Linked DNA regions of Arabidopsis thaliana. The protein of the gene in region 1 interacts with the protein of each later gene in a pairwise test. Each region holds a gene or a part of one and is shown in the gene's direction. Other genes may lie near its edges. The genes, in order: SAC3A, EER5 and SAC3B.

What was found.
Region 2: the proteins of SAC3A (region 1) and EER5 interact in binary tests that used the Arabidopsis thaliana proteins (3 or more experiments, as listed by UniProt).
Region 3: the proteins of SAC3A (region 1) and SAC3B interact in a two-hybrid assay, tested with the Arabidopsis thaliana proteins (one study listed by BioGRID).

What each region holds. Positions count from the first base shown.
Region 1 is NC_003071.7:16,421,574-16,430,239, forward strand, and holds SAC3A (SAC3/GANP/Nin1/mts3/eIF-3 p25 family), read left to right. Parts: upstream 1-1,967; 5' UTR 1,968-2,332; intron 2,333-2,452; 5' UTR 2,453-2,469; coding exon 2,470-2,526; intron 2,527-3,192; coding exon 3,193-4,092; intron 4,093-4,393; coding exon 4,394-4,813; intron 4,814-4,959; coding exon 4,960-5,061; intron 5,062-5,320; coding exon 5,321-5,418; intron 5,419-5,541; coding exon 5,542-5,710; intron 5,711-5,870; coding exon 5,871-6,353; intron 6,354-6,434; coding exon 6,435-6,575; intron 6,576-6,702; coding exon 6,703-6,762; intron 6,763-7,130; coding exon 7,131-7,261; intron 7,262-7,283; exon of another isoform or gene 7,284-7,467; intron 7,468-7,543; coding exon 7,544-7,677; intron 7,678-7,772; coding exon 7,773-8,002; intron 8,003-8,102; coding exon 8,103-8,198; 3' UTR 8,199-8,535; downstream 8,536-8,666. Other genes in the region: JAL23 (jacalin-related lectin 23), read right to left, coding at 1-144; ABCG1 (ABC-2 type transporter family protein), read right to left, coding at 8,601-8,666. UniProt on the Arabidopsis thaliana protein: Component of the TREX-2 complex (transcription and export complex 2), a muliprotein complex that functions in docking export-competent ribonucleoprotein particles (mRNPs) to the nuclear entrance of the nuclear pore complex (nuclear basket).
Region 2 is NC_003071.7:8,464,629-8,471,284, reverse strand, and holds EER5 (proteasome family protein), read left to right. Parts: upstream 1-2,139; 5' UTR 2,140-2,215; coding exon 2,216-2,383; intron 2,384-2,987; coding exon 2,988-3,124; intron 3,125-3,213; exon of another isoform or gene 3,214-3,234; coding exon of another isoform or gene 3,235-3,242; coding exon 3,243-3,336; intron 3,337-3,442; coding exon 3,443-3,532; intron 3,533-3,631; coding exon 3,632-3,697; intron 3,698-3,784; coding exon 3,785-3,874; intron 3,875-3,963; coding exon 3,964-4,020; intron 4,021-4,120; coding exon 4,121-4,182; intron 4,183-4,264; coding exon 4,265-4,352; intron 4,353-4,465; coding exon 4,466-4,542; intron 4,543-4,877; coding exon 4,878-4,952; intron 4,953-5,024; coding exon 5,025-5,130; intron 5,131-5,229; coding exon 5,230-5,361; 3' UTR 5,362-5,595; downstream 5,596-6,656. Other genes in the region: CDA1 (cytidine deaminase 1), read left to right, coding at 1-687; AT2G19550 (alpha/beta-Hydrolases superfamily protein), read left to right, coding at 5,754-6,656. UniProt on the Arabidopsis thaliana protein: Involved in the regulation of ethylene response. Probable TREX-2 component required for nuclear RNA export.
Region 3 is NC_003074.8:1,903,809-1,909,552, reverse strand, and holds the start of SAC3B (SAC3/GANP/Nin1/mts3/eIF-3 p25 family), read left to right. Parts: upstream 1-2,255; coding exon 2,256-2,344; intron 2,345-2,639; coding exon 2,640-2,774; intron 2,775-2,926; coding exon 2,927-3,019; intron 3,020-3,190; coding exon 3,191-3,283; intron 3,284-3,502; coding exon 3,503-3,595; intron 3,596-3,855; exon of another isoform or gene 3,856-3,897; coding exon 3,898-4,062; intron 4,063-4,362; coding exon 4,363-4,485; intron 4,486-4,730; coding exon 4,731-4,943; intron 4,944-5,306; coding exon 5,307-5,525; intron 5,526-5,586; exon of another isoform or gene 5,587-5,614; coding exon 5,615-5,744. Other genes in the region: P4H2 (P4H), read right to left, coding at 1-173, 264-333, 466-641, 791-848, 1,308-1,412, 1,520-1,577, 1,673-1,809. UniProt on the Arabidopsis thaliana protein: Component of the TREX-2 complex (transcription and export complex 2), a muliprotein complex that functions in docking export-competent ribonucleoprotein particles (mRNPs) to the nuclear entrance of the nuclear pore complex (nuclear basket).

The sequences.
Region 1 (8,666 bases):
TTTGTATTTTTTCAAATACTGTAAAATGAATTTTTTAACTAAATTATCCAAATCCAAATAAAGTGTATATTCAAGCTTTATAATGTTTACTAAGCCGGGATCCCGGATCTGTGATTGGTGATACACTAGCCTATTGAATTGCATAGCAAGACATAGAGAGCAATGATCAACTAATGAGTACCTATTTACGAAACTAAAGTTGTAATTTGTATAAACAAATCAGAACTTGAGAGAGAGAGAAGAGAGAACCTGTAAATTCTTGATCTTATTCAGAATGAAATTAAGGAACTATCAACTATGTCTATTTATTGATACAATTTGGAACACGTTTTTGTTGATTCCAATAATTTAGTTATACTTGTAAGTTGTAACTAAATCATGATTGACCTTTTTCTGTTCCCTTTACTTTTCCTTCAAAAAGAATATGAGAAGGAAAACATTTTACAAGGCCAAACCAATCCCCATAATTTGTAATTTAAGTCATATTAGAAGAGAAATAGCCAAACTAACCCAAAATATATTAGAGATCTCAAGAGCATCCTGGCTGCATGTTATCATTCTGGACGATATGTCACGAGACGAGAGGTTCTAACAAATAAAGCAATAGATGATTTTGATAAGAGTCCAATAATACTAGCATATTACAAGTTGTCAGATGGAGACATCCATGATTGTAATGAACAGAGGAACAAAACAATTTTGTTTCACAAAGAAATTTTGTTATAATATTTTTCATATACTGTTTACATCGTCGTCCCATTCACGTCCTCCTTCATCACCGCAAAGTGCCAACTTCCGCTAGATCCTCATCCATTTTGAATCACCAAATTAATCCTTAAAAATGAAAAAAAAACAAACTAAACTATTTGTTAGTCCAAGTATGAATGCATAGCTTTATAATCATTTCCTAAGCTGGATATGTGATTGGTAATAAACTAATACTACCATGACAACATTGTACCCTATTCATATACATCGCAATAAAATACCAAAATTTTCCACTAATCGCAGATAGAGGAATCAACTAATGCATGGTAGGGTAAATATTTATAGTGTGATGTTGATAGCTCTATTATAGGTGTACTATATAAATCAATGACGATATAAGTATACTGTATAGTATTAAACAAGCCCCACACAACAAACTGAAATTGCATCCACATATTCATTTCTCACGTTTATTTCATCTATATATCCTACCCTACTTGCTCATAAACTTTCCTCTCTTGTCTTAAACTTTTAACGTTACAAAGTCACAGCCACAATATTCTATCCTCACCGATATAATAATCACCGCAACAGTATAATCTTACCTTGATATCTATTATATGGATTAAAACCCGATTTCTTACTAAACATTTGACACTTTCGCGTAGAACATAATCTGTACATACGAATTTCGAATTCATATATATATATATATATATATATATATATGTTGGATAATGATTGTTTTCTCGAATATTGTGTCGATTTATAGTGTAGTCATATTTTAGATAGCTACTCCGTTCATCACCAATAGCTTGTTTCTATGGTTAATTTCTTTCACTTATTAGATTTATCTCAACCAATCACTCAATTAGTTTCTAGAGATTGTTGTGATTGCTATACTACATGTTAAGCACTTTTTATTTTTGCCGGATTTCTTGGCCAAAAGGGTTGGCGATAGAAGCAACTACATTAAATTCATGACCTAAGCTAAATTACATGTAACGATATACAATACAAGATTTGTCTAAACTAAACATTGATTCAACCAAAACTTATATAGACTATATATTTAACCCAAATACTTATCATATAAATGTTTTCTTTTTTGACGTCAACACAACCGTAAACATTCGAAATCTTATATATTTAATTATTTACTATGCTTGTTATTTCATTTGTCGACGTTGTTTTTTTTTTTTGCATTCTTCAGATCCACTAAGAAAAGGCAAGTCCGAAAGATAATGGGCCCAATTAGTGGCTATATAAAAACCCGACCCGGAAAGACTAAACCTGATCCGCAACCGAACCGACCCGACGACGCTAGTATACCGTAAAAATTTGACAATCTTCGTCTCCGGCACAACAAAATTGTTCTTCTTCGGCAAGATTCCTCGATTTTCTCCGTGTTCTGTAATTTCCGATAGATTTTGACAACTCTCTTTGATTGTTTCCCTTTAGCTTTTTATTTTTATCTGCCTTTTTTTTTTTTGTTGTTGTTCCGGTTCTATTCGTTTCCTTTTGTTACCTTGTTTTTGGTTTTGATCTCAAATCCTGCTCTGCTCTACTATCTTCAATTCGATTCTTCATCCGAACGAAGAAGACACAAATTGGAGCTTCACTGGTACATATTCTTGACGCTTTATCTCTGATTTGCTATTTAGGGCTTTTCAATGAATGAATTTAGTTTTTCTGCTATGTTCATTGGGAAGTAAGTTCAATCGTATGTGTGATGATTTTTCAGGACGTTGATGATAAAGCATGAATCACGGAGGGAACACTCAGGCCGTAGCACCAATGGACCCTAATTCCATTGAGGTAATTAACAATCTCTTGCGCCTTCTCTTTCTTTTAAGCTTAAATTTTTCCAATTTGCAGATTTATTTAGTCTTTATATGCAAGTGAAATTTCGTGCATTGGTTCAATTTTTGCGAATTGAATTTGTTTATTTTAGTTTGCTCCAGATTTAACTTGGTAGATATGAAAGTTATGCTTGTTGTTAGTTCACCATTGTAATGGTTAGAGGAATTTTGCATGTCAGTATGTTTATGCAGCAGAAAAAAAGTGACTTTGATTCTAGGCTCCGTATGTGAACTCTTGGAACATTTCAGAAAATCAGTTTCTGCTTTAAGAATAGACCTATCATCAATTCTGTGGAGCCGTATGATTTTCACTAGTAATATGTTATGAATACAGCTCAATGATGCAAAGTACAACATTTTCTATTAGGTGTTAGGTATTGTTACGAAACTTAGCTGCTGATCACTTACTTCATGGAAATTTGCAGTTTTATTGTTTGATTCAATCAGATTGATTTGAGACTGTGGGAGGCTTTAGCATCCTAATGTAGTCTTTATCTGAGATGACATTTCTGTTTGTTGTTTGTCTATGTTTCTTTTCACTCTTCAACTTTTTGTTTATGTCTACTTGTTAAATGAAGATTCTCAGACCTTGGCCAGTACTAATGTTTTTTCTTTTATGCAGAATCGATATGGTGTTGATGGAAGCCAAACACAGAAATATTCATATCAATACTCAACTGGGTCTGAAAGTGCCCCATGGACAGGGCATTCTGTTGAAAATCAGGCTGTGGAGAATGGGAACTATTCAAATTCAAACTATTACCATCCACAGCCGACAGGGCCAGCCACAGGCAATGTGCAAGAGATACCGAATACTGTATCCTTCACTATCTCATCGACGTCCGGAACTGCAAATGTGGCACAAGATTATAGTGGATATACGCCATACCAGACCTCTTCTGACCCACACAACTATTCAAACACGGGATATTCCAATTACTACAGTGGCTATCAACAGCAACCTAGCCAGTCATATCCTCAGCCTGTAGGGGCTTATCAAAACACAGGTGCTCCTCAGCCTCTTTCCTCATTTCAGAATCCAGGATCTTATGCTGGGACTCCAAGTTATTCAGGAACTTACTACAATCCTGCTGATTATCAGACTGCTGGAGGTTACCAAAGTACGAACTATAACAACCAAACGGCTGGAAGTTACCCAAGTACAAATTACAGCAATCAGACTCCTGCTTCGAACCAGGGAAACTATACGGATTACACCTCAAACCCTTATCAAAATTATACTCCTGATGCTGCTAACACACATAGCTCTACTATTGCGACCACACCACCTGTACATTATCAACAGAACTACCAACAATGGACAGAATATTACAGCCAAACAGAAGTCCCCTGTGCCCCAGGCACAGAAAAGCTGTCTACCCCAACCACAAGTGCATATAGTCAGAGCTTTCCAGTTCCTGGTGTTACTAGTGAAATGCCTGCTTCAAATAGTCAGCCTGCCCCGTCTTATGTCCAACCTTGGAGGCCGGAAACTGACTCATCCCATCCACCTTCTCAACAGGTTCAGATATTACTTTCATGAGGGAGTAGAGTAAATTTGCGCCCTTAAGCTTATTTGAGTTTAGAATGCTTTTCTGCTTTCAGCTACTTGATAAAATGTGTGTTATTGTCCTTATAAATCAACTAAGTTGGGAAAAGAGTGATAGTAACTGACCTGTTAGCTACCAAGCAATACTGCATAGAGTCAATTCTTAAATGTTTTATTTGCAGACAGTTTAGACATGATCTCTGATTGCTTTCTTTCATGGGGGTCCTTTTTATTGAATACTAACTTAGTAATCATTTTATCATCATTCTCTCAGCCTGGTGCAGCTGTTAGTACATCTAATGATACTTACTGGATGCATCAAGCACCAAGTCTGCAAGCTCATCATCCTGTTCCACCTCAAAATAATTACCAGAGTCCTCTGGAGACAAAACCTTTATACGAGACTCCCTTTCAGGGTCATCAGAGAGCTACATATCCTCAAGAGATGAACTCCCAGTCTTCCTTTCACCAGGCACCGTTAGGCTATCGCCAGCCTACTCAGACAGCACCGTTAGTGGATTCACAAAGGGTAAGCAAAGTACAGATTCCAACTAACCCTAGAATTGCTTCAAACTTGCCATCAGGTTTTACCAAAATGGATAAAGATAGTACAGCAGCCAGTGCAGCCCAAGCACCTGCATATGTTAGTGTTTCAATGCCAAAGCCTAAAGACCATACCACTGCTATGTCTGACGTAAGAATCCTTTATTCAAATCTTGATGACCTAGCAAATGAAGTAGATATTAAATGTTGGCCACCATAAATTTGTGTGTTGAGTAATTGTTTCTTTCTCACAATTGAGTAATTGACATTGGAAACAAATAATGCCGATGCTTGTAGCCTGGAACCTTCCCAAAATCGCTTCGTGGGTTTGTTGAGAGGGCTTTTGCCCGCTGCAAAGATGATAAAGAAAAGGAATCTTGCGAGGTTGCCCTGAGGAAGGTAAATGTTAGTAGGAATTGTAGACGCTCTGGTTGTTGGACTATTGTAGCATGATAGATGATTTTAGTTACACACTCTGCTCATCTTAATATTATTGCAAAATTTGGATGAACTTCTTCAACTTGATCTTTCGAGTAGATTTGTAGTATGTTTAAGATAATTTCATGCCTTTTATGGAAGAAATCATATAGCAGTTATTTGAATACCATGTTAATTTATGGTTGCTTTGCATTGCTAATGCTTATTTTTGTATCTCTAGATTGTCAAAAAAGCAAAGGAGGATAATACTCTTTATACTCGAGATTGGGATACTGAGCCTCTCTCAACTGTCACGACCACAAATGTGACTAACTCTGAGTACGACCTTTTTTCCTCCATCCACTGCTGCCTGCATGATCTATAACTTTCGTTCTTCTATATGATATGTCTGGAACACTTACTTCATATGTTTTGCCCACTAAGTTTTACACTGTGCCATAGGTCAAGCTCCGCTCAGCTCTCTTCGTTACAAAATAAGAGCCCAACAAGACGACCCAAAAGTAGATGGGAGCCGTTGGTGGAAGGAAAACCTTTTGTGAAGCCAGCTTCAACTTTCAGCAGTGCTGTTAAATTTGGAGTTTGGAATCACCAAAATGAAAACAACAAAAAGGTTAACCAATCTCTTCCTTATTATTTATTAATGTCTGGTTGAAGGAATTGAAAAGAAGGCATTTAGCTGTTGGTTTAATGAGGCATTTAGCAGTTGGTCTAATGTTTTAGCTGTTAGAACTCGGTTTTTGCAGTCGTTCTGATAATCGGAAATTTTGCAGAGCTCTGAGAGTTTTCAAAAGGTGGATGCTGCCACTGGCTTCAAGCCCACTTATTCTGGGCAAAATTCTGCAAAAAAAAGTTTCCAGCGGCCTGTCAAGCGACAGCGTTTTTCTGGTGGTGCAGCTACTGCCATTGATGATGAGGCATCTAGTGATAGTGACAAGGATTTGACACCTTACTATTCCAGTGCAATGGCACTTGCTGGTTCTGCCGAGGAAAAGAAGCGACGTGATAGTCGTTCCAAGCGTTTTGAAAAAATTCAAGGCCACAGCCGAGGGAATGATCTTACAAAACCTAAGAATGCAAATGTTGGAAATTTGCATTCTAGAAGAGCCACTGCCTTGAGGCTTAGCAAAGTTTTTGATGAAAGTGGCAGCAGAGCTGTGGAAGACATTGACTGGGATGCACTAACTGTTAAAGGCACTTGCCAGGAAATTGAGAAACGTTATCTCCGTCTGACTTCTGCGCCAGATCCTGCCACCGTAAATATTACTATCTTATATTCTTATACCTAGTATTCTTTTTGACACCATGACTGATATTTTTGATTGACTTATTTTCAGGTAAGACCAGAGGATGTTTTGGAAAAAGCTCTGATAATGGTTCAGGATTCTCAAAAGAATTATCTTTTTAAATGTGATCAACTAAAGTCTATTCGCCAAGACCTCACAGTACAACGGATACACAATCATTTAACAGCTAAGGTACATAACTGACTTCCAATAATGTCGAGTGTTATTGCATGTAGGATTCATTTCCTGTTGGAACGTTTATCTTATTTACACCCAATTAGCATGTTTATAATGGTTCCATGTGCAATCTCAATTTCAGGTTTATGAAACACATGCTAGATTAGCTTTGGAGGCAGGGGATTTACCTGAGTATAATCAGGTTGGTACGCTAGCATAGATTGATAGATCAATCAGAATTTCTAGTTCAAATTCGGTATCAAGCACTTTTGTCTTTTTCGTAATTTAAAGAGTATCAACCACTGCTAGAATTTCACTGGTCTCTCATTTTCTAAAAAATAAAAAAGCAACATAAAGTGTTGAATCAGAGAGAAACTTTGCAAAAGGGAGCATAGTTCTGATGACTGGTTACTATGGATTGTGGCTTTTGTTTGCATTGATTCTGCAATATAATGATACCGTTCCATCAAGTCTTGTAAAATACATCTGTTGTCTATTCCTGAGGAGACTATAACTCTTAGGGTATGTATAGCCTTGCTAAATTGATTTCTATTTTTTTTTTTGTTACAGTGCCTGTCACAGTTAAAAACTCTTTATGCGGAAGGTGTAGAAGGATGCTCTCTGGAGTTTGCTGCGTACAGTCTACTCTATATTACTCTACACTCTAACAACAACCGAGAACTGCTATCATCCATGTCCAGGTTAGTAGTTGTAAAGTCCCATCTCTGGGCTCCTTTTAAGCATGATGCATTCATGGTTCATGGGAATTTTTTTTATAAATTAAGGTTTTGTAGAAATATCAGAATATGGTTTGCTACACAATTTCTTTGAGTTAGTAATGGAATTATTAATGTTCTGTCCACCTACCTGATAGTTGAGTTTTTGTAACATCTCTTCCTACCAGTGCAAAGAGGTTACTACTACCTCTTTGAATTGGGTTTGTATGCATGAGATTGAGTAATTTTGTGACCTCTGTTTTGAAGATTATCCGAAGAAGATAAGAAGGATGAAGCAGTTAGACATGCTCTTTCAGTTCGTGCAGCTGTCACATCAGGGAATTATGTTATGTTCTTCAGACTCTACAAGACTGCACCAAACATGAATAGTTGCCTCATGGGTAAGGGTCATATGATACATGAAAACTCTCTTGATATATTTAAACAATTGAATGAGTAGATATGTAAAGATATGGTGAAATTGTTATGTTTGCAGATCTCTATGTGGAGAAGATGCGTTACAAGGCTGTGAATTTTATGTCTCGTAGTTGTCGTCCTACAATCCCGGTCTCATACATAGTCCAAGTGTTGGGATTTACTGGTGCTGCAAGCGAAGGTACTGATGAAAAGGAGACCGATGGTATGGAGGACTGTTTGGAATGGCTAAAAACTCATGGTGCTAACATCATTACTGACAGCAACGGAGATATGCTTCTTGATACCAAGGTAAGTCTTCTTTTGCATTTGCCATATGTTTGTTATGAAACTTGTAGATCCTTATTTTCAAGATATGGATTGAGAACTGGTTGTGTTATTCCTTGTGCAGGCGACATCAACGAGTCTCTTCATGCCAGAACCCGAAGACGCAGTTGCTCATGGAGATCGAAATCTAGATGTCAATGATTTTTTTACACGTACATGATGAAATATTTTTAATGTTTGTTATAGTCTGATGGAAACAGAAAAAGCAAAATCGAAGTTCATCATATCTTTTGATCTTAAGGAGACCAATGAAGATAATCCAAGGCTCTCTGGCTTCATCATCATCATTATCTGCTCACACACACAATCTCAGGTATGACATTAGGTTTATAATACTTGATAGTCTGTTAGTAGGAAACGTTTGGAAGATAAGTCAAATTTGTTTGTAAAGACGTTTTTGTGAATATGGAAATCCTTATTCTTCTATAAGATTTTGAGATAAGGGAATCCAGGAGACATACCTCTTTTTATATATATGAAAAGAAACCATTTTCATTAAACAATTCAAGGAATTACAAACAGAAAATACAAGTATGTTTTGATTTGGGTCTTCTAGTTGTTTTCACCTCCGCTTGTTCTTGCTTCCTAGTAACAAAGTGAAGTAGAACAAAATCCTAAAAAAGAACCC
Region 2 (6,656 bases), 8.0 Mb from region 1:
CACTCAATCCACGCCGAACAGTTCCTCGTCACCAATCTCACACTCAACGGTGAACGTCATCTCAATTTCTTCGCCGTCTCCGCCGCACCATGTGGCCATTGCCGTCAATTCCTCCAAGAAATTCGCGACGCACCTGAAATCAAAATCCTTATCACCGATCCAAACAACTCCGCCGATTCCGATTCCGCCGCCGATTCAGACGGATTCTTACGTCTCGGAAGCTTCTTGCCACACAGATTCGGTCCCGACGATCTTCTCGGGAAAGATCATCCTCTTCTTCTCGAATCTCACGATAACCATCTCAAAATCTCAGATCTGGATTCGATTTGTAACGGAAACACCGATTCATCCGCCGATTTGAAACAAACGGCTTTAGCGGCGGCGAATAGATCGTACGCGCCGTATAGTTTATGTCCATCGGGAGTTTCGCTGGTGGATTGTGACGGGAAAGTGTACAGAGGTTGGTATATGGAATCGGCGGCGTATAATCCTAGTATGGGACCAGTACAGGCGGCGTTGGTTGATTATGTGGCTAATGGTGGTGGAGGAGGATACGAGAGGATCGTCGGAGCGGTTCTGGTGGAGAAAGAAGATGCGGTGGTGAGGCAAGAGCACACGGCGAGGTTGTTATTAGAGACTATATCGCCGAAATGCGAATTCAAAGTGTTTCATTGCTATGAAGCTTAGAGAATCATTTAATTATCCGAAAAATAAAGGAATTTTAAAAAAAAAGGAATAAAAAGAAAATGAGACTTTTTAATTCTTAAAAGTGTTGAAATTGACGGAAAAAAAAAAAGTGTTGAAATTGATGTGATGGATAACACATAGAGAATAAGAAAAGTTTATATTTTTAAATTTGTTAAAAATGTTTATTGTATTAAAAAATTAAATTTAATACAATTATTATGTTTATGGAGTATTGTTAAAAAAAAAATTGTTGATATTAAATTTTTCCATTTTTTGATATTTTTTTTTAATATCCCCTTTGAAAATTTAATTTCGTCTATAAGGGATGGATTATGTGGATTAGATCAAATCGGCCAAATTTTATAAAATTGACAAGGTTTTCAAAAGTCTCAAATCGAATCAATGATTTTTTTTTTTACATGTCAAGTTATGATGTTTCTTTTATGTACGCAAAAAGGCAAAAATAAATGAACGTAATGATGGCTTTACACATTGAATTTGTTGGAATAAAGGTTCCAAATACGAAGTATGAGAAAGTAGAGAATATAAGATGGTCCACATGCAACTCTTACTATGAGTGGTGAACAATGAATCTAAAGATTTTTAGATTAGTTTCAAATGGAATGCTTTTTAAATAAAATGATATATAAGAGCATATTTTAGTAGGAACCTTCATACCAAAAATAAAGTAGGAACCTTAAAAACCTCTCAAGTTTCTCGTTATCTTCAACTTTTAGCATTACACATAAATACTAATCCTGGATTGACTTCTCTCAACTCAAAATTTCTATTAATTGTGTGTTCAAGAATAAAATATATTGATAATTATATGATTAGCGTGATTTTTATTTATTTATTTATCATGTACATGTAGTAGAGGCCTTTGCTAACTATGAAAGAAGGGGAATATCAATGGGAATATATAGAAGTGTGAAAGTATAAATCACATTTGGAAACAAGTGATTTATTTGATCAGTTAATTACTTTTGACAAGTTGATTATATTCATTTCTTCGAGTTTTTGGCAACTTGTTGAGTTATATGCATGGTATAAATTGATTTCATGTCCCTTCAAGAAAGTTCCTCACGTCACCATCGGGCTAAGAAGACATATTTACATACAGATGTCAACATTACGGACGATTACATGAACTTAAAAAACCTTAAAGCAAATTAATCATGATCTATAAAACGATTATATGAACTTAAAAACTCTAAAAAAAATTCATGATCAGTACCACCGATTACAGGAACTTTAAAATCCTTCCAACACTAATGATATTTTCAAATCCTTTACAAATAAATTTTCAAACATTTTAATGATTGTATTTCATATGGGCCTTAAATGGCCCAACTAACATATGTCAATAAGTCTAATACCAGAAAAGACTAGTACGTAGTAACAATTTAGTTAATTACCAAACGCCGTCGTTTTTCTCAACTCCGTTATTTCCTTTTTTTTCCTGGCGACTTATTTGATTTCGTGTCTCTCTCAAAGAATAAGGAAGACGCAGACGAAGAAGGTGACAATGGCGTACGTTAGTATGGGTGAAGCTCACCGGAGAATCACTGAATACCTAAACCGATTCTGCGACGCCGTTTCGTACCAAGACTCTTCTACACTTTGCCGTCTCCTCTCTTTCTCTTCCAATTCTCCACCTCTTCTCTCACTCGCCGACGCACTCAACGTCTTCCAGGTACATATATTCTCTGTTAAATCGAGACCCATGATTCAAATTAGCAGCTTGGAGTATGTTCCTGTGATTAGTGGCATGATCCTTGTAAATTGGTAAAGTTAGGTTCGATTTCAAATCCAGGATGCTTCTGATATGTTCCGATTGGGTTCTCGTATGAATTGTGAACACTAGGAGCATGGTTTTTATGTTAGCAAAGTTTGTAACTTTTAGGTTAAATCGATTCAATGTAAGATCCTTAAGAGTATGATTTTCTAATTGGGTCCTCCTACTTCACCAATGAGTATGAATTTCTGAATTTAGGGCTCAAAACACTAGGAACATTATCTTTATGTTAGCAAAGTGTGTATCTTTTAGGTTCAATCAATGTCAATCTAGGATCCTCCTACTTCACTAATGAGTATGATTTTCCAATTGGGTCCTCCTGCTTCACCAATGAGTATGAATTTAGGCCGTGAAAGTGTCTCCTATTGAGTTGTTGTAGTGAACACTCTATGTCTATGTTTGAGTTTATGAGTATGGATTTTAGATTTAGGGTTTTTATTTATATGTAGAGAGCTGTGAAAGTGCTGAATCCTTTGAGTTTTCTTTTCTTTGACTGATACAGGATTCTAGCAGTTTGATTAGACAGTCTGATAGATTCTCTGAATATGGCGAGATTCTGGCTCATGTGTTTCGTTCTCTACAAAGTTACCGAGTTGGGAATCTAGTCGAAGCATACCTTGCTTTCGATAAGTTTGCCAAGTAAAGTCTTCTTGTTCCTCTCTGCTCCTCTATTGATGTCTAATATGATTTCAGGGTGATAAGCTTTTTTTTTTGTCTGTTCACAATGTCTGATATCTGATGGATTCTATATGTGCAGTGCATTTGTTCAGGAGTTTCGTAATTGGGAATCTGCTTGGGCATTGGAAGCTCTGTATGTAGTTTGTTATGAAATTCGAGTTCTTGCGGAAAAGGTAGTATCTCATTTGTATATCCCTTTTTCAAAATCTTAACCTTGTCTGGTTTCATTGTGTCGAGGAGTCAGTTCTGAAAGCATGATTTTTCCACATGGAATTGCAGGCTGATAAAGATTTAACTTCTAATGGAAAGTCTCCAGAGAAATTAAAAGCAGCTGGGTCTCTTCTCATGAAAGTTTTTGGAGTTCTTGCTGTAAGTTTTCCCTTTGATCTATCTATATATCTTCAGGAATATTAGTTTATATTTGTGTTCAATATTTTTTCCGGCTCCTTATGTAGTTTTAAACTATAGGGGAAAGGTCCAAAACGAGTCGGAGCATTATATGTGACTTGCCAATTGTTCAAGACCTACTTTAAGGTGATATGCTTTCTGGCAACAGTTTGATATTTATGATTTAACCATTAAATGGAGTACTAAACAGGTATCCCCAATTTTGTATTTTAGCTTGGAACCGTCAATCTTTGTCGAAGTGTAATAAGAAGTATCGAAACTGCTCGGATATTTGACTTTGAGGAGTTTCCAAGAAGAGATAAGGTCTGGCGCAGTTCTCTGCAAACAGTTTTAGTTTTTGGCCTCCTTATTCGGTTACTTATTATCTTCTGTTTATTCTTCGCAAACACCAGGTTACATACATGTATTATACCGGCCGATTAGAAGTCTTCAACGAAAATTTTCCTGCTGTGAGTCACTAAGAGATTTTTTCTTACCATCACAGTTCATTTCGTAGTGTCAATCCAAATATTGATAGTAACATTTAATCTCTTTTTTTGGATCTTGCAGGCTGATACAAAGCTATCATATGCCTTGCAAAATTGCAACCCCAAAAGAGAACGAAATATAAGGTCTGATTCTGGTTTTACTCTGTGATTACCTTACTCTTGCATTGCGTTGCTTAATCAGCTAATGTGGCCTTATGTGAATCAGGATGATATTAAAGTATTTGGTACCGGTGAAGCTTTCTTTAGGAATTATACCAAAAGATGAGCTCCTGCGAAATTATAATCTGCATGAGGTAACGACTTTTCTGTTGTTCTATAAAATTTTCTTCGAATCTATGTCAAAACTTATTTCGCATCTGCTGAGTGATATCATATCTCTCTTAATCCTATTTCTCTACGTGTCCAGTACACAAAGATTGTGCAAGCTCTGAGAAAGGGTGATCTAAGGCTTCTCCGGCATGCTCTTCAAGAACATGAAGATCGGTATGTATTTCTTTCGATATCTTGCTTTTCTCATCTAATCCAAATGATAGAGTCCTTGTGGATACTCTAGAGCATGAGTATTGGAATTAGTATAGGCTGCTTGTAGTGGATTATATAGCTCTGCTGACAGGTCAGTAACACCTGGTTCTTAGGTAGAGAGCTAACAGGTTAAAAGAAAATTGGGGCAGAAAGAGTTGGGATGTTCTGGATTTGTCTAGGGGTTAGGATTTGCAGTTGGGTCGAGAGTAGAGTTGTGCAAGTCTCTATATGATGAGTATTTTGATTCTATCACCGAACAACTTAATATCTCGATCTAATACTCTTCTTTTATACAGGTTCTTGAGGTCGGGTGTGTATCTTGTCTTGGAAAAGCTAGAGCTCCAAGTCTACCAGAGACTCATGAAGAAAATGTAAGCAAAGACAAGCTATGATACCATCCAAGATTCTTGAGTTTATAACTCTTATTATTATCAATGTTTCAGTTATATAAACCAGAAGCTGAGTGATCCAGCGAGAGCTCACCAGCTGAAGCTTGAAGGGATTGCCAAAGCACTAAGATGGCTAGATATGGACATGGATCTGGACGAGGTTTGTTCTACAATACCATCCCATTCATTGCTTTTGACTTCTTCTAAAATTGAAATCTTCTATAAACTCACAGTTGTCAAAATAATACTGTATTTGCAGGTGGAATGTATAATGACGATATTGATATACAAAAACCTTGTGAAAGGTTATTTAGCTCACAAGAGCAAAGTGGTAGTTCTAAGCAAGCAAGATCCTTTCCCTAAACTAAACGGGAAGCCTGTTAGCTCATAAGTCTTCACGTGTTATTTTTTTTGTTGTATCAACAAACACTTTTTATTTTCTAATTGTGTGTAAAATTCATTCAAACAAAAAACAAAAACTGTTTTTACAATAGAAATGTGACTTTAAAACTGTGGAGTTTTCACCATGGTTGAGGAGTCTACTTACGAGTAAGGTCCAAATTTCCACTGAATATCGACATGAGAAGAATAAGTGATTACGAGTTTTAGTTTAGCAAAAAAAAGAAAAAGTGATTACGAGTCTCATTCGTATCTCCACAGAAAAATGCAATTTGATCTTTGGCGAGAGTTCCAGTTCCATACTTCCATTACCTTATTCTTTTTACATCAATAGGGGGCCTCATTGTTTTCTTCTCTACGATTACCACCTGAAGCAAAAAGACGATGAAGCCAACGAAGATCGTGATTCCGAACCGCCGCAACGAGAAGCTCGTGGGTCTGCTTCACGAAACTGGATCAAAAGAAGTTGTGGTCTTATGCCATGGCTTTAGATCGGACAAGACCAACAAGATTCTCAAAAACGTGGCTACAGCTTTGGAGAAAGAAAAAATCAGCTCTTTTCGTTTCGATTTCTCTGGTAACGGAGATAGTGAAGGAACTTTCTATTATGGTAACTTCAACAGTGAAGCAGAGGATGATCTGCATTACGTTATTCAACACTTGTCCTCCTCTAACATCATGAACCGTCTAGTTCCTGTCATTCTTGGTCATAGTAAAGGTGGTGATGTCGTTCTTCTCTATGCTTCCAAGTTTCCCGATTATATCCGCAATGTCGTCAATATCTCTGGACGTTTTGATCTTAAGAATGATGTGCGTCTCGGAGATGGTTATATAGAAAAGATTAAGGAACAGGGGTTTATTGATGCTACAGAGGGCAAATCTTGTTTTCGTGTTACTCAAGAGTCTTTAATGGATAGGTTAAACACTGATATGCATCAAGCTTGTCTCAATATTGATAAACAATGCAAAGTTTTGACAGTTCATGGTTCGGATGATACCGTGGTACCTGGGGAAGATGCTAAGGAGTTTGCAAAGGTTATACCGAATCATAAGCTGGAGATTGTGGAAGGAGCTAATCATGGTTACACCAAACATCAGAAGGAATTGGTTTCCATAGCGGTGGAGTTTACCAAGACTGCGATTGTTGAACAACACAATTTGTTAGTTGTCTTTGGGAGATGGCTCATCATCGTCATGATAGTTGTTACATTCTACATGAGTGTTTTCGATCATTTAATCAAAGTTTATCCACTACTTGTAATTTTCAAATTGGAGAATGTTATGAGC
Region 3 (5,744 bases), on another chromosome or scaffold:
ACAGTTACCATCATGTGTCAATATCTTATCGAATGAGTCCACGTGGATCCACTTAGTAGCCGACCATTTCTCTCCTTCGATCACTGGACAACCTCCGTGAAGGCTAAAGGGGTCTGGGATTGCGTCTTGTTGGAGGTTGAAGAACAACAGAGCATTCCCTTTCTTCGGTTTCACTAATAACATTACCAACCAATATCAAACACAAACATTCTTAGAGATAACATGGAAAGAACAAGTCATGATTCCTTTTATATATAGCTCACCAGCGATTCCTTTCTTTGCACAATCAGAAAGATCGTCTTTATTCTCAGAAAGCGAGCGGCGAGAGAATTCCTGCGCAGAAATATTCATCATACAGAAAAAGAGTAAAGACCTATTTGTCCACGTATATAGAGAACCAATACAAGATTAGCAATTGTGGAAATGTAAGCGGAAATTGGTGGTATTGTCTGAAAAACAACAAACCTGTGCATCGGGGAAAACAGTTTCTCCACCCTTTGTGACATTGGACAGATACAAGAGAACCGTTGCTATGCGGTGTCCACCACGGGCAATGTTGACTTTGTCGTGGAAGTAGTCAAAGTGAGCATCATATTTCTGACCGTGCTCATATCTCAATACCTGAAGGTCTTCCCCGTTTTCTGTGACCACAAAGTGAAGAACTTAGGAAACAATAATATCTTCTGAAAAACCCTTTCAAGAAACTCAACAACAGTTAAGGTTCCTTGTCAATTGACATTGTGAAACAGAGAGACCACTATTGAAAAACCATTCAGATTGTTAAAGTTACCTTTTGGGAGAAATGTCCATGTTGAGAGCTTGTCCTCGATACCGGAAACAATAGGATCCTGTCATTAAACAAACGAAGCTTCACATTAAGATTGTAATCACACTGAGATATCTAAATTTCTCAAATCTGTTCCTAATAATCACTAAGTATCATTCATCATCCTTCATCCATACACAGAAGTAAATTTATGTCTAGCTATCACCCTAAAACCTTTTTAGTAGTAAACAACAATCACAAATCAACACAATTTGGGGTCAATTTACTAAGATCTCGACTTATCAACATCATTTTATCAAACTCTGATGACCAGTTCAATATGTGTGTGAACTTTTGGATTGAATTATTCTAAAATTTCTATTTCCATCAGATCTTGAGGGGTTTGACTTATCAGATCCATTAGTATCAGAAATCACATCAGAGATTCAGAGTTCTTGAGGTCGAGTGTCATAAATTAGAATCAAGATCAATTCCAATCAAGCCATTCAATGAGATCTGATGTGCCGAATTAAAATTGCACCTTTCCTTTGGAGATAAAAGTGCCGGAGCTGGTACGAACATCACTGACTTGACTCTCGCCATTATCGTTATCAGCAACCGCAGATCTCTGCAGATTCTCTTTCGCCTTTCCCCAAAAAAAAAAAAACCAAAATTAGATACTGAAACTAGCACATTTAAGCCAAAAAGTTTCCAAATTTGAGCTCAAACCCAAAGAGCAAAATTCGCACTCACAAGAGAGATTAGATGATCACATTCCAAGTCCGTCAAAAAACCTTCATACACAAATGCCCTGAAGAAACAGTCAATACACACAGTTGGAGGTTCAAAGTTTCCAAATTTGCTTCATTTCTCACTAAATAGACAAGAGAAAGAGTAAAATCAAACCTGGGCTTCGACGAAACCTGTTTGACTTTAGAAGGATTGATGATAGAACTTGGAGAACTAATCAGACAAGTGGAAGACTGAAGCAAGACGAGCAATATAGCGACGAACAACAACAATCCGAGCCGAGACATCGACATTATAGCAATCGTAGTAATTTCTTGGATCCAGATGATCGAGATCGAAAACTAGAGGATAATTTTATTTATTTTTTCTCGGAAAATAAAGAGGGAAAAAAAATGTCAACGGTCATGAAAAGTTGATGTTCTACCTAAAACAAGGAGGCTCAAGGGAGATGGTGACAACATGCGCACGTTCTTCTTGGTTGAACAATTATTCTTGTTCCTTGACCAAAGCCCATAATAAGCCTATTGTTACTTAAAAGGCCCAACATAAAATTCGGAAATAAAAACGACGTCGTTGGTTTTAAACGTAAAATAATCCTCGCCGGACGGAAGAGGCGTCACCAGAACAGAAAATTCAATTTGCTCCGGTTTCGACTTTAGCCGGCGACGTAATTAAACGAAGGTTGAAGGAGAATTAGAAGAGAGGCAGCGATAATCAAGTCAAGGAATTTTCTCAGAGAATGGCGTTTAGGCCTTTCGGGAAGGACTTAGGTCCGATGAGCTCTAAGCCAGCGCCGTTTACACCGTTCGGTGCTTCTTCAACCACTAGGTGTGCTCTTCATTCTCTATAGATGTATCTATGCTTCAATCGGACTTTTCTTCGAGTTTTGAGATTTTTAGGATTCATTTCACGCTATGGATCTATTATACTCAGAGATTTTTTTGAACTGTCAAATTTACATATATGCTATCGTTGTATTAAAGTGTTTAGGATCATGAGAATGAGAGAAGTATCTTGAATTTTCTATGATATTGTGTTCTATATCACTTAGGCAGTCGGGTTTTGCTTCTTCATCTTCCTTAGGAGAAGCTGCGAGTTGCTTTACTTTGCTTTTTGTTCTTAGATTGTACCTTTCTTTTTTATTCTTACACACTGCGAATGTTGGATTTGCTTGTAGTGATTCATCAATTCAACCACCGGCGTCTCAAAACCATTCAGCCTTTGCAGGACAATCTTTTGGACCTGGTGGAATTCGAAGGTTAGATTAACCTTAGCTCTACAGCTTTGATTTCTTTCTATGCGAGTATGTTAGGTTGTTTCTGAGCCTCCATAGGAAGAGCCTATTGTGCTACTTGTTGTAGTTTTCTTTCGTAAATTCGCTCAGTTTTCTTTCGTAACTTTGGCTTGTAGTGGTCCTTCAATTCAGCGAGCACCACCTCTGTCGGCTTCTCAAAACCCTCAGCTCTCTATAGGGAAACCTTACCGACCAGGTGGGGTTCAAAGGTTAGACATTCTTAATCGTATGGCTTGCTTTTATTCCTTTTCTCTTTCAGTTCTATGTGTCTAATGATGATGTTAGGTTGGTTACTTATTCAATTATTAATTTTTCAGTCTACTCTCGGGTTTTCTTCTTCTTTAGATTCTAGCCTAAGTTATTATGGTTTTTGCTTGCAGTGTTCCTCCAATTAATAGAATACCATCTCCGTCGGCTTTTCAAAATCCATCACCCTCCTCAGGACAACCTTACCAACCTGGTGGAATTCAAAGGTCAGATAACTTACTATTATGGCTCTCTTTTTTTTTTTTCACTCCTTATACCTGTAAAGGATCTTCGGGAACCCAAAACAGTGAAGATGGGATAAACCAAATTTTCTGTTTTCTTTGGCTTTGATTCTTTTTGTAAAACTTCTGCTTGAATCTTCTATATGTTGCACTAATTTTTACGCCGAGAAAGTTATAAGAACACTTTGATGCTATGTTTTTCAGGATCCCAGAACCTTTCAATGGAATAGCATGGGGTCCAGAAGCTTCACGTACAAGCCCCTCTGTGAGACCTTACCAATTTCCTGGAGTTCAGAGGTAAAAGTGTACGTGACATATTTTGACTAAGAAGAGTGTCATTACTCATATGCGGCTGTGTTAATCACACATCTCAAATGCTTTCAGTTTCTGCAATTGAAATTATAGCAGTAGGAAGAAAGTAGAGTGTGGCGGAGTGCTATAAGTTTCTCTGCCTAATACATAAGGGCTTACTATGGCAGCGGCTTTGAAGCTCTAAAGAGATCATTATCGCTGGATTTGGCTTATAGCCTTTAATAAGCAAGCTGCTGGATTTTTCTTAACGACTTAGCTGAATTTACCTGCTTCATTTTTCCTCACAGGCCTAATTTAAATCCTCAATATGGGCACGATGGATCAAGGAATTTCTTGAAAGATCATGGTGAACATAGTCGAGCCACGTCTCCACCTGCTACATCTCACATTCTTTCCAGAATGGGAACTGATGCTGTTGAGATTGGTCGATCACAAGATTCAAAAAGAAAAAGGTCGTTTATGCCATTTCCTTTAGATCAAGGTCATTTATGCCAGCAGGATCTTTCTGAAATAAACATTCTGTCTGTTTTGTATCCCTATCTTATCCTTAACCTTTTAACATCTGTCCTTGTGGGAGTTTACACCTTCCTTGTTCTGCATCATGTATCTTACTCTTTCAGATTTTATCAGTTTGTTGTGTGGCCTAGGTGGTATGAATGAGATGTCATAGACATGGCCATGGTGTTTACTGATATCCTGGTTTTTTTGATGTAACTAATATCGGTCTATAAAATTCTCAATTTTTGTTGCAGTCGGTCAGATATTCTTCCTGACCAGAATATGGGGTTTTCTCGAAGAAATCAATCGCCAGTATCAGGTTTTGAGAATGGAAACTTGGTAGATGGTTTTCAGCCACTTTCTAGCCGAACTTGGATGTGAGCTTTTTATCCTCTTGTCAGTGTCATAATGTTTTCGTTTCTCATTCTCTTTTCGCTGTTGGTTTTGATTGGTTTTAAAAAGGTCATAAAATATTTCATTTTGTGGTGTCTTTACTCTTTGTGGATAATGATTTGAACCATACCTGTGTCTTTGCTCCTTGATCTTTATACTAATTTATTGTTCTATCCTCTCACTAACTTTTGAAACTTATTTCCTGGAACCTTTTCTCATGTTTGTGTAGGCGCTCTCCGTCTTCTGCGGAGAATAATCCGGTGAGGTCGAGGAGCAATCCCAATCAGTTGATTCATCAAGAACAAACCGGAAACTCGTCATTCCCCTATGCACATGAAGTAGCTGAAATTCAGGAAGCTACTAGAAGAAAGTCTTCGGCTGTAGCACCTTCTGATAAACCCCTTGGAGATGACCCCATATTGTCTCAACATGACTCTCAAAGGTAGACAGCATGAATCTCATCGTACATTCTAAAGCTTATTATGTTTTATTCACCCACTCTGTGCCATACGTGTACGTATGAATGGCAGGAGAAATCACGATTATAGAATAGAGTTACAATCCTAAGAAACTTTATCGTTAGCAAATCGGCTTAAGAAACTTTATCTTTAGCAAATCGGCTTATGAGCGTATTCACCTTAAACTTAGATGGTTGCTTGGAAATTTTTCTGCTACTAGCCTTTGAAGTCATGCTTACTTCTCCTGCAGCTTTATCTTAATGCTATTGCAACAAATCTACTTTTCTCTATCTGGTTTGATGTGCCTTTGAGCTTCCTCCTAGTTAAGCATGCTGTTTCTGTGATAGGTTTTCGACATCTCCACCTACGTCAGGCACAAAGTCATATACACTTTCAAGAAGTTCAGATTCTCAATTTCCTGGACAGCCCTCCTCTGTAAATAGTTTCAATAATGCGCGTAAGACAAACAGTTCACCTGCAACAAAAAGGACGAGATCTCCACCTGTATATCCAATTGAAGAGGATATCCCGCGAAACTCTTTCCCTTCTCAAGATTGTACAGAAGGGTACAATATTTAATCACGCAGTATTGACTCTTTGCATTAATCTGTGGACCAGTTCTTAAAGTTTTCTAAACGGTGTGGATTTCTTATAGAGAAGAGCAAGCCAGGGCAAAGAGACTGGCCCGCTTCAAGGGTGAACTGGAGCCTATTGCAGACCGACCTGTTGATATTCAACTTACTAAATCACCTGTAAATAAAACTATGAAGCCTCTGGACAACAAA